Elephas maximus indicus: one gene and its partners. The protein of the gene in region 1 interacts with the protein of each later gene in a biochemical or structural test. Links are inferred from orthologs where the notes say so. Each region holds a gene or a part of one and is shown in the gene's direction. Other genes may lie near its edges. The genes, in order: CREBBP, RELA and ZNF106.

Region 1 (3,744 bases):
CTCCTGAGGCCCTGAGCCCAGAGGGAATGGGAACTTTTCCGCTAGAGGAGCGGGCAGAGCGCGCTTGGCTCGGGGTGGAGGTGGCGCCCACCACCCTTCTCCGGCAGGTAAGGGTGTCGCACCTGGAAGCCCCGCCATGGCATCGGGCTCGGGACTCCGGAGTCTTACGTGCCCCCACCTTACCTGGAGGGTTTCGAATCCAGGCCTTGCCACTGTCTGCCTCGCCGACCTTGAATGAATTACTTTGCCCTCCCTGCCTGTTTCCCATCTGCACACGCTTGGTGGCGGACCCTGCACACTCGACGTCACAGGCACCCGGAGAGGGGCAGTGGCCCGGCCTCGGGTCCAGGTCGCCCCGGCCCTCCCCTCCGGACGTCGTCGGGGAGGGTGGCGGGCAGGGGCCCAGTGGCACCGCGGGGCCCGGGGGCGGCCCGCCCAGACGAGGCCCCGACGCCCGGGCCTCCGCCCCCGAGTCGCCGCCAAAAGCCAGGTGCCAAGTGGCCCGCAGGCCCGGCCCTGGCCCCACGGCCGGGCTAGGCATTCACAAGCTCCTCTGCCGCGCATTCGGCCCTTTCCGCCTGGGGCACTCGGCTCTTTCCGCCGTGGCGGGCGCAGGTGGAGGGGGCGGGGCGGGGCCGTGCGTGCTGACGCTTGGGAGTGACGCAAGGCGTGCCCCGCCCCCTCCCCCTCCCTGTTCTGGCTCTGGAAAGAGAAGAAAAAAAACTTTCTTTTTTTTTTAATTGAGGAATCAACAGCCGCCATCTTGTCGCGGACCCGATCGGGGCTTCGAGCGCGATCTACTCGGCCCCGCCGGTCCCGGGCCCCACAACCGCCCGCGCACCCCGCTCCGCCGGCCGGTCCGCTCCGTCCGGCCCTCGGCGCCCGCTCCGGCGGCCCCACTCGCCCCTCGGCCCGGCCTCCCGGAGCCCGGCGGCGGCGGCGGCGGCGGCGGCGGCGGCGGTGGCGGCGGCGGCGGCGGCGGCGGCGGCGGCGGCGGCGGCACGGGGGTGGGGGGGCCGCGGCGGCGGCGGCGCGGCTCCGCTCGGCGCATTGTTTTGCCTCCCGGCGGCGGCGGGCCGGGGCGGGCGCGGACCCCCGGCCCCCTCCTCGCCGTCCGCGAGTGAATCCATTAAGTGGGGCGCGGAGGGGGGGGGAGCGCGGCCGAGGAGGCGGCGGCACCATGTTCCCGGGGACCGTCTGAGCCGCCGGGCCGGCGCCGTCGCTGCCAGCCGGGCACGGGGGGCGGCCGGGCCGCCGGAGCACCCCCGCCGCGGCGTGTCGCGCTCAGGAGGCGGGCAGGGGATGAGGGGGCCGCGGGCGGCGGCGGCGGCGGCCGCGGCCGGGGGCGCTCGGTGAGCGCTGCGGGGCGCTGTTGCTGAGGCTGAGATTTGCCGCCGCCTCCCCCACCGGCCTGCGCGCCTCCTCTGGCCTCCTCGCCCGCTCCCGCCCCGCTCCCTCGGCCGCCGGCCGGCGCCCACCGACCCGCGCCCGAGCCCGTGCTGGGGCGCTCCTCGGGAGCAGGTGAAAATGGCCGAGAACTTGCTGGACGGACCGCCCAATCCGAAACGAGCCAAACTCAGCTCGCCTGGATTTTCTGCTAATGACAGCACAGGTGAGGAGGGGGCCGGGCGGACCCAGGGCGGCGGGAGCCTGACGGGGGCTGTCATCCCCACCCAAGGCGAGGGCTTCCGCGACTGAGGATCGCCCCGCGAGCGCCTGTCGGGCAGGGGTCGCCGAGACCCGACTGTGGATCGCGGCCCGAAGTGGGGCCCACGCAGCCCCCGGCCCGTGCCCCCGCCAGGGAGAGTGGAAGTTTGTGGGGGAAGACTGTCACTCGGCCCGAGTCCTGCATGCGCTGGGCTTCCTGGAGTTGGCTAGCCCCCGTCGCGTGGCAGAGGAATGAGACTTCCCGGGAGAAAAAGTAAAGTGGAGTGTGTTCATTCTGTTTGGTCACATCACACGCCTCCGACTGCGGCCATGTGTCCACACACGCGTGGCTGTCTAGAGGAATGACAGGGGAGGGAAGGTACGATTTCTGGCTACGGAAAGAAATCTCGGAGCCAGAGGGTGACTTGGTGTGTTTTCTGAATTGGTAATGTATTCACAACCCTGCAACCCCAACACGCACGCAGCCACCAGCTTGTGAGTTGCAACTTAGAAGTTTCTTGGATTATGTTTCCTGGGGAAATGTTTAGTAGTTATTTTGAAGACTCTTCTTGTCACCTAATCATCCCATTTTTCAAAACCCTGAACTCCCTTAGCAAGATGTTGTAAAGGTTGCTGTGATGTGTTTAATCTCACTTATAAAACTTAGAAAGTGAATAGATTCATTTGAGCCACAGCCTCCATTTGAGCTTGTCTTGGTTTTACAGTGTAGATGTGCAAAAAATTATGTGAAGAAATGTAGAAATTACCTTTCTTCCAGAAATGTTGGCAGAATATGGAGTAAATCGTCTTTTTTTTTTTTTTTTTCTTCTCATCAAACAGCATCCATGAAAACTTTCTTAAGTAATCCTATCAGTTGCCTAAGAAAAGCATGTTAGTTTTTGCTTCACTTAACAGTGCTGGGTTTTCTAGGCTGGTTCGTGGTAACAGTACCAGCCGGTGGCATTTCCTCTTTTAGAGCTCTCGATTCTGCAGTAAAAACTTGGGTGCAGCTGCAAGCGATTTTGGTCTCCAGCGCAATACAGTATTTGCCTTTCTCCAGTGCAGGCTTTGAGTAACAGCATCTGAAAATCAATTTATAATGAATGGGTCCAAATCGAATTGTATCGCGCTGCAGTGCCTTCAGATTTGCACTAGACACAGCTGTTTAACTTGTGGAAGTATTTCTGTGACTGTCCATTTGCGTAGACAAAAATCTAGTTCTGCTGTTGAAACAAATCTTGTGGCTTCAGTTTTAATACAATTCCTGGGATCTAGTTATGAAAAGTGGCATGTAATAATGTAGAAATGAGAGAAGCAATTTTTTAAAAAATCGGTCTTAAGTTGGTTTTCGTGTAGTTAAAATTTTGTTAAACTGGGGGCGGTGGGATACAAGTCTCAATTTATCCGAAGTGAAAAATTTGGTAACAACCATATTTTAAATGCCGTTTTGCTGCAGAACAGATATTATTTGCTTAAAACCTTGCCATATTTAAGTGAAAAGTTTTCAGTCTTAGGAAACGTAGAGATACAGCTCGTACCAGGAAAGTTGAGCTTTCAAGCTTGTCCTCTGAAACCGGGTAACTTTTGAGTGGCTGCACAGCTTTGCAGTTGTTGAATGAGGTTACCATAGGTTTTGTTTTATAAGGGAGCAAGTGATTAACTGGAGACTTAGCAAAAAGGGGTGTTGTTTCCAGCATGGACCCCAAAGGATGGCTTTTTTGAGTAGTTCTGTTAGTGGATGGCCAGATATTTAATTAAGGTGCTGTTAATCCGTGGAAATCGACTTGAAGGCACTGGGTTTGGTGTTTATTTTGGAATCCCAACATAGATTATCAGGAAGGATTCCACTTTTAACATTTTTTCTTCCTTACCATTTGAACAAACAGAGGCTCTTTTTACTTTTTCAAATGTGGAACAAAAGATTCTGTTTCTAATGGCTCCCTTTTAAATAATCCAAAGAATAAAATTAATGCTCCTACTTTAGTTTAGTCCTTGGCCACGTCCATCACGTTTTCACAGAAGGGTCTATTAGTTGGGGGAGAGGGGCAGGAGGAAGGAGTCATTGTCAAGCACATTAATTGAGGTACAACCTTGTCT
Region 2 (3,744 bases), on another chromosome or scaffold:
ACGAAAAACATCAACCCACAGATCCAGGAAACACAATTTGTCTCAAGGAAGTTAATATATATAAAAGAGGATCATGTATGGACTAATCATGGTTGTACATCATTTTGCAAAGATTTTCAATAATCCATTCTTTCGACTTGAAGTCAGCTTCCTCCAAAAAAGTGAGTAGACTTTTCTAACTAGGTCCCCAGGAGAAACTGAAATGAGTGGGAGGGATGGTAACTTGTTTTCACTTTTCTCTTCCTGTTTTTTCAGAGCCTGGGAAAGCTAATCAGAATTTCCAGTCTTTTCCAATTCCCAAATGATTTCTTAATTTAAAACGAATTCCAAGAAAACAAAACTCTCTCCATGTGGAGAAGACTCCGCACCCCACCACGGACCATCATTCTAGAAAGAGGCAGTCTGGGGTAAGGGGTTGCCCAGCTCCAGTCCGTTACCCCCACCCGGCACGCATACGCCTTGGGCTTGGGGGCGATACCGGCGCCGAGGCGTCTCTAGACGCCGCGGTTAATGAATGGAAGCGCCCCACCGATGGCTGTGGCTGGACGTTAGCTGGAGACCCTGGGGGGGGGGGTCGGGCGGGGGACGTGTCCCCGTGGGTTCGAGCGGATCCTTGCAAGACGCAGGCGCCCTGCCATCCAGACGAGGATCACAACTGTACCCCTGAGCGTCCCTTGCCACCCACTGCTTCAGTCCGGCTGCATCCCAAACCAGCCCTTTAGCGGAGAGGTTCCGAGCCCTGGTCTCACTCGACCCGGCCCGCCGGCGTCAGGGACGCGGGCCTGAGCCTCGGCCACCCCTCTTTGCGGCAAGCTCCGCGAAGCTCCACTGTCAGATGTGGGGCCAGGGCGCTCTCTTGCCCCCCAACGGCATCTGACTGAGGTGAACAGGATATTAACAAGAGCTTCTGAAGCAACTACCATCAAAAGGCACCTTTACCGATGATGACAAAACCCGGGTCGAGTGCAGCCGCCCGGCCCTCTCGGGCGCCGCCAGCCCGGGCCTTCCCCGGCGCGGGCGGGCGGCCGCAGCCCAGCGGCCCTGGCTTCGCTCCAGACGGGACCTGGGTGACATCACCAACTCCTCCGATCGGCGGGAGGGGGCCCCGAAATCCCCTAAAAATATTGTGAGTAATCGCCGGGCCCGCCTCCAGGCGGGGCCGGACCTCGGGAGCGAGCGGAGCCGCCGCGCAGCGCCGGGAGCAGCTCTAGGCGGACGGCCTTCTCGTCCGTGCGCGGCGCGCGCTCGTTCCCGGCCCCAGCGGCGCGCGAGGCCTCCTGGGCCCCCAGCAGCGCGCACTCGCTCCCGGCGGCGGCGGCGCAGCGCGCAGGCGCAGCCGGGTTCCGGGCAGTGACGCGGTGTCGGGCGCGCGCGGCGCATTTCCGCCTCTGGCGAATGGCTCGGCTGTAGCGCGCGCTGCGGGCCCAGCTGCGACCCCGGCCCCGCCCCCGGGACCCCGGCCATGGAAGGTGAGGGCGCTCTCGGATCCCGGGGGGTGGCCGCGCGGGGCCACCGAGGCCGTGGCGGGAGCCCTCGCACGCCTTCCGCCCCTTCCTGCGCTGGCGGGTGCTGCGCAGGGAGCGGCCGAGCCGGATGGTGGCGCGGGGCGGGGCAGGCGGCGAGGGGTCTGACTCAGTTTCCCCTCGGGGTGGAAGGGGACCTTGACTCAGTTTCCTCCCTGGGTGGGGGTGCGAGTCAGACCCTGACTCAGTTTCCCTCCGTGGTCCATGGGGGTAACTCTAACTTTGTTTCCCTGTTAGGGGAACGTGTGCCTGAGTCGATTTCTCCTCAGCATAGGAGATGGGGAGAAACCTCCCTCAGCTCTCTTTATGAAACTAGAGAGGGTCCTGACTCAGTTTCCCTAAGTAAAGGGAGGAAGGACACCAGATCCAGTTTTCCCGTAGGAAACAGGTGTTTCTGGCTCCGTTACCCCACCCCTTAGCTTCACTGCAGGTTTGAGGAGCAGGCCCTGATTTAGTTTCCTTTGGTGGGCGCTTGGCTCCATATTCTCTTGGCGGGGATGGGGTCCAGAGGATGGACAGTGGCTTATGCTGACTCTTGGCCCCCTCGTCTTCCAGATCTGTTCCCTCTCATCTTCCCTTCGGGTAAGTGGACTGTCCTCCGTCAGTGGCTCGGGTGGATCTCCCCACAGCTGGGGCAGTGGGGCAGCCGCTAATAAGGGCTCACCATGTCCCCTGCAGAGCCGGCCCAGGCCACCGGCCCCTATGTGGAGATCATCGAGCAGCCCAAGCAGCGGGGCATGCGTTTCCGCTACAAGTGCGAGGGCCGCTCAGCGGGCAGCATCCCAGGCGAGAGGAGCACCGATACCACCAAGACCCACCCCACCATTAAGGTCAGCACTGCGTCACCAGCTCTCAGGGGTAGGCTGGGGGTATGGAGTGGTGGGGGAGTGGCCTGTTGAGCCCTGGCAGGCTTGCCTCCAGGTCACTATGCCCTCTGTGTCTGGGAGTCGGCTTTGGAATTCTTGGGCCTCTAGGGTGTTCTCTGTACTTTGGACAGATCAATGGCTACACAGGGCCAGGGACAGTTCGCATCTCCCTCGTCACCAAGGACCCCCCTCACCGGCCTCACCCACATGAGCTCGTGGGGAAGGACTGTCGAGATGGCTTCTATGAGGCTGAGCTCTGCCCAGACCGCTGTATCCACAGGTGAGCTCCCCACAGGCCCAGGGTGGGCTGGCAGGACAGGAGGTGGGGCTAGGCACAGGAGGCAGGGCAGCTGCATCCACGTGTGAGCCCCCCACAGGCCTGGGGTGGGCTGCGGGACAGGAGGCAGGGCAGTCACAAGCTGTTACAGTGTTACTCCTTTCTGGCCACAGGGCAGAGTTCCTCACCCCTTGTCCTGGGCCCAGCTTTACAAACAGACTTCCCTAGTCTTGGAACGATCTGTTCATGGACCCCCCTCTCTAGCAGATGTGAGCTCCTTGGGGCAGGGATGGGGCCTTAATCACCTCTGGACCCCTGCACTGTGGTTGGAACGGTGAGTCCGTCAGTGCCCCATCTCTTGTGCCAAGAAAGAAAACCAAGCCAGCAGTCTCCCTTGGAGCTGACTACCTCACAGTGCTGGGCCAAGTAAATATACGGGAAAGTAAATGAGAGAATGGTGGAGTGTAATCATTTCAGTGATGAAAATAAAACCGGCTAGTAGATAGGAAGGCGCCCTGGTGGTGCAATGGTTAAGCGCTCAACTGCCAACTGAATGGTGTGTGGTTTGAACCTACCAGCCGCTCCATGGGAGAAAAACCTGGCAATCTGCCCCCGTAAAGATGTACAGCCTAGAAAACCCCATGAGGTAGTTCTACTCTGTTCTGTATGGTCACTAGGAGTCGGAATCAATTCGACGGCATACGACAACATAACAACAGTAGATTAGGAGAATAACCCAGGGCAGGGGGTCATTGCTTTGGATTGGAAGCTCCGGGAAGCCCTTGCTCAGCTACGACTTCTATGGTGAGAAATAGAGAAGCAGGGAAAGGATGTTCCAAGCGGAAAGAACAAATACAAAGGCTCAGAACTGGGAATGAGTTTAGCGTCTTAAAAAAAATCAGCTGCTTAGGAGCAGAAAAAAAGCCCATGGGGCTGGAGGAAGCTGGCAAGGGCCTGGTCATCCAGCGCTTCTCAGCCAGGGTCAGGAATCGGGGTTTCATTGCAGCCCAGTGGGGAGCCACTGGGATGGTTAAGCAGAGGGCGATGATAGGGGATGGAGAGGGAGGGAGGAAGGGCA
Region 3 (3,744 bases), on another chromosome or scaffold:
ATGTCAGTGCCAAGTTTGAGAAGTTTTGACCCAGGGTTACCTTGATGTTCACCAGTTAGGACCTTGGTCTTCTACAGGTTTATCTTTAGAGTATGGCCCTGAGCTTATTGGGTAATGTGGCCCTTCCATTGCATGCCTTTAAAGGAGAGTAGAATGAGCAGCTACCCCAGTTCTTGACTGTTTCAAGGACTTGTGATGTCACAAATACAGAATTGGAAGTTTCCTAAACTTCTAGAAGCAATCTGGCTTTACACATAGGTAGAGGCATTGAAGGTCTTGTTAAACGGATATTATAAGTTCAACAATATAGGTAGAGTAACACTTCACGTCATTATCAACTTTAATATAACTTGGTTTATCTGACTAGTTTAAGTCACTAAAATAGGATCCTGAGGGTTAAGGTATGAGGTAAGGTCAATAATAAAGTTACTTTGTATATGAATAATATAATCATTAGTATGAGTATTAGAATGTGTGTTCTGTGACAGGCACTTGACCTCTCATTTAATCCTAGCAATACTCTGAGAGATGGGATATCATTATCATAATATTAACTCAGAGAAAACTGAGGTTCCAAGAAAACATGGAATTTGCCTAAAGTCACAATAGCTGGGTTAAGATTTGAAGTCAGGTCTTATCTGTTCCAAAGCCCACGCACCTTCATTAAGCTTCAAAGAGTTTTGGAAGGAAGTAGTGAGTGGTTTAGCGGCGACAGCTGCCACGCCTAAATGAGTTGAGGATTTAAGAAAAGAATAAGAGCGAGAGGAGGCCCGGAAAGAACAAGAAGAAAAAAGCGACAGGCGGGGGGCGGTGGGCTGGTCACAGCAACGTCCAGTGGCAGTGGACCGACTGTTCCGCAAATCGGGAGAGTCTTCGGTCTTCTCCCACTCTTTCCGAGTAAAGCCGCTTTCTTCCTCCGTGTCCGTTGTTCACGCTCGTGTGTTCAAATAAAGCTACATTATTGAGAAAGGCAAACCGCAAAGGAAAAAAAAAAGAGCGCCACGGCGGGTGTGCGCCTGCGCGGTGGCGGCGGCTGTGCCCGGCGGGGAGCGGGTCCGGAGCGGGCCGCCGGACCCAAAACTGGGGAAGGGGTCCGGGTGGGTCGGAGAGCTCCCTTGCCGGGGCCTCGGCGGCGCGATGGAGTAAGAGGGATCGTCTGTGAGTGTGAGTATCGGGGAGCCCGGCTGCGCTGAGGCGTATCGGAGCCCGAGGGTCCTGGTGGTCCACCCTTCGGGGGGTCGTGGGGCTGCACGAGGGGCCGGGGGTCTGCTCCTGCCGGCCGCGGAGCGGGGCAGCCCTGTGGTCCCCCTTCCCAGCCCACGCGGGCTTTTCGTAGGCGGTGCTTCTGGCTTCGGGGTACAGATTCTCGCGGGGGCGTTTCGGCTCAGCTTCCAGCCCCAGCAGGAAGGGTGGCTCCAAAGCTTTGCCGTTTAGGGGAGGTCGCTGAACTCCTTCGGCTCCTGGTCGGGCTGGAACCCCATACACCCTGGTGCTTTAAGGCCTGCGGGTGTCAGGCCAGGGACACCTTTCGACTTCTCATGACTGACAGTCTCGTTCCTTTTCCTCCTTCCGTCTTCTTTGTGGAATGCGTCTTAATAATAGCTACTAATTCTGGAGCGCTTACTATTTGTCCATGTAATATTTAGACTGAATCTCGGTGCATATTTATGGTGAGGAAATGCTTCATACCCCCTCCCCTTCAATCTGTTCAGTGTAATCATCTTTGAGAGTAAGATTAAGCTATCCTATGGGGGAGTTTGAGATTTCCATGGCTCTTAGCAACTTGAGACTGCATGTTAAGGAAATTTCTTTAAATGAGTACTTTGTTCACCATAGTGGTTTATACCGAATTTATTCAAACCACAAGTAACTGTTTAGGATTTACAAAGAGCCTAGTACTGTTCTAAACTCAACAGGAAATCTTAAAATTCGTTTCAGGCCTGCTCTCAAGTTTGCCGGTGAATGAAAACAGTGGAAGGCAGTATTCAGATTCAGCTAGGATATATATAGCACCTGTTCCTTGTGTTCCAGGCACTCTCAGGACTGTCACAAAAAATTTTGTAATGGAAGGTGGTTTTCTGCAGCACATTTCAGATGAGGTCACTGAGAGTATGGTGAAGCTCACCTAGCTCTAGAGTTAGTGGTAAAATTCAGGCAGTGTCATGCCCAAGAATAACTGGTGATGTAGTGGTTAAGAGCTACACCTGCTAACCAGAAGGTCGTCAGTTCGAACCCACCAGCCCCTCCTTGGAAACCCTATGGGCGGTTCTACTCTGTCCTATAAGGTCACTATGAGTCGGAATAGACTTGACAACGATGGGTTTTTTTGGTATGATACCAAAGCTCGTTGTTTTCTTGTTAACGCCAAGTTAAATAAGTTAGGTGTTCTAAGCCCTTGTGTTGGGACGCAAACTGCATTGCTGTTACAGTTTTTAGTTAACTATTGAGACTAGAAAATGGTTATGTTGGGTTGGCTCTCACTCATAGCGACACCATGTACAACAGAACAAAATGTTGCCTAGTTCTGCACCATCTTCAGATTGTTGGTATGCTCAAGTCCGTTGTTGCGGCCACTGTATATTTTGAGTGCCTTCTAACCTAGAGTACTCATCTTCCAGCACTATATCAGATAAAATTGTTGAAAGTAGCCAGGCCTTTCTTCCTAGTCTGGCTTAATCTGGAGATGGTAGGAGTCTTGAGTTAGATTAAAGGTACTTGCTATATGGTTTTTGAAGGGAACTTCAAAACGGCCTGGAAGAGGTAGAGGGTAAGAAACTAGTCTGGTCCAGCTAGTTCACAAGTAACTGCTTTGATTTGAAGGAAGGTGTTTTAAAAGGAAAAACTGAAATGGTGATTATTGTACATCTAGGGTAGGGCACTGGTAGTCTAAAGGCTGCTGTACGGGAGAGGCAGGGAACAGTGGTAGCTTCTAGCTGACTTGGTCCTGGGACATGGAATAGCTCAGTGGCAAGTATACATATCATGTATTTTGTAATTGGAGTACTTTAGTGGGAAGTTTAAGATTAATTTGTGTACTGGTGCTAAGAGCACGTAGGCAGCTAGGTTACCTATGAATACTCCAATTGCCTTCCAGCATTTCGAATCTCTAATTGAAACTTTACAGTGAATTTTTTTTTCTCCTTTTTTTAAATCTGAAAGAGGATATTAAGAAATGTTCCTTAAATGTCCACCAGTAGGAGGCTGATTAAATAAATCACGCATCCGTTAGAAAGGACGCAGAAGCTCCACGTATGCTAATTGAGACCTCCAAACCAAGCCAAAACCAAACCCGTTGTTGTGGAGGCGATTCCCACTCACAGGGACCCTGTAGGTCAGAGTGAACTGCCCCAGAGAGTTTCCAGGGAGCACCGAGTGCATTTGAACTGCCGACCTTTTGGTTAGCAGCTGAACTCTTAACCACTGTTATCACCGGGGTCCCAATTGTGACTTCCAAGATATATCAGATGAAAAGAACAAGGTGCAAAAGAAGGTGAGCATTTTGCAACCATCTGTGGTTTTTTAAGAACTGTATGTATTTGCATATATATGAATAAAATATCTCTGGGAGAGTACAAAGAATCTGGTCACTGGAGCCGGAGGTGGTGTCCGAGGTAGCGGGGGAGCAGGACGGGAAGGGGATAATTTTTTCCCAATAAGCTTTTTATTATGAAAAATTTCAAACATCCAGAAAGGTAGAGATATTAGTATATTGAACTGTAAATCTGTCATTCAAATTTTAATATC

The links.
Region 2: the proteins of CREBBP (region 1) and RELA form a complex in vitro, tested with the Homo sapiens proteins (9 studies listed by BioGRID and IntAct). The link is inferred for Elephas maximus indicus from reciprocal best matches to the Homo sapiens genes CREBBP and RELA.
Region 3: of the proteins of CREBBP (region 1) and ZNF106, one has a biochemical effect on the other in vitro, tested with the Homo sapiens proteins (2 studies listed by BioGRID, with this or other methods). The link is inferred for Elephas maximus indicus from reciprocal best matches to the Homo sapiens genes CREBBP and ZNF106.

What each region holds. Positions count from the first base shown.
Region 1 is NC_064830.1:61,817,816-61,821,559, reverse strand, and holds the start of CREBBP (CREB-binding protein), read left to right. Parts: upstream 1-1,342; 5' UTR 1,343-1,527; coding exon 1,528-1,612; intron 1,613-3,744. Other genes in the region: uncharacterized protein LOC126087487, read right to left, coding at 184-762. UniProt on the Homo sapiens protein: Acetylates histones, giving a specific tag for transcriptional activation. Mediates acetylation of histone H3 at 'Lys-18' and 'Lys-27' (H3K18ac and H3K27ac, respectively).
Region 2 is NC_064825.1:128,815,781-128,819,524, reverse strand, and holds the start of RELA (transcription factor p65), read left to right. Parts: upstream 1-1,341; 5' UTR 1,342-1,462; coding exon 1,463-1,469; intron 1,470-2,078; coding exon 2,079-2,105; intron 2,106-2,201; coding exon 2,202-2,353; intron 2,354-2,520; coding exon 2,521-2,669; intron 2,670-3,744. UniProt on the Homo sapiens protein: NF-kappa-B is a pleiotropic transcription factor present in almost all cell types and is the endpoint of a series of signal transduction events that are initiated by a vast array of stimuli related to many biological processes such as inflammation, immunity, differentiation, cell growth, tumorigenesis and apoptosis.
Region 3 is NC_064828.1:13,497,220-13,500,963, forward strand, and holds the start of ZNF106 (zinc finger protein 106), read left to right. Parts: upstream 1-989; 5' UTR 990-1,164; intron 1,165-3,744. UniProt on the Homo sapiens protein: RNA-binding protein. Specifically binds to 5'-GGGGCC-3' sequence repeats in RNA. Essential for maintenance of peripheral motor neuron and skeletal muscle function.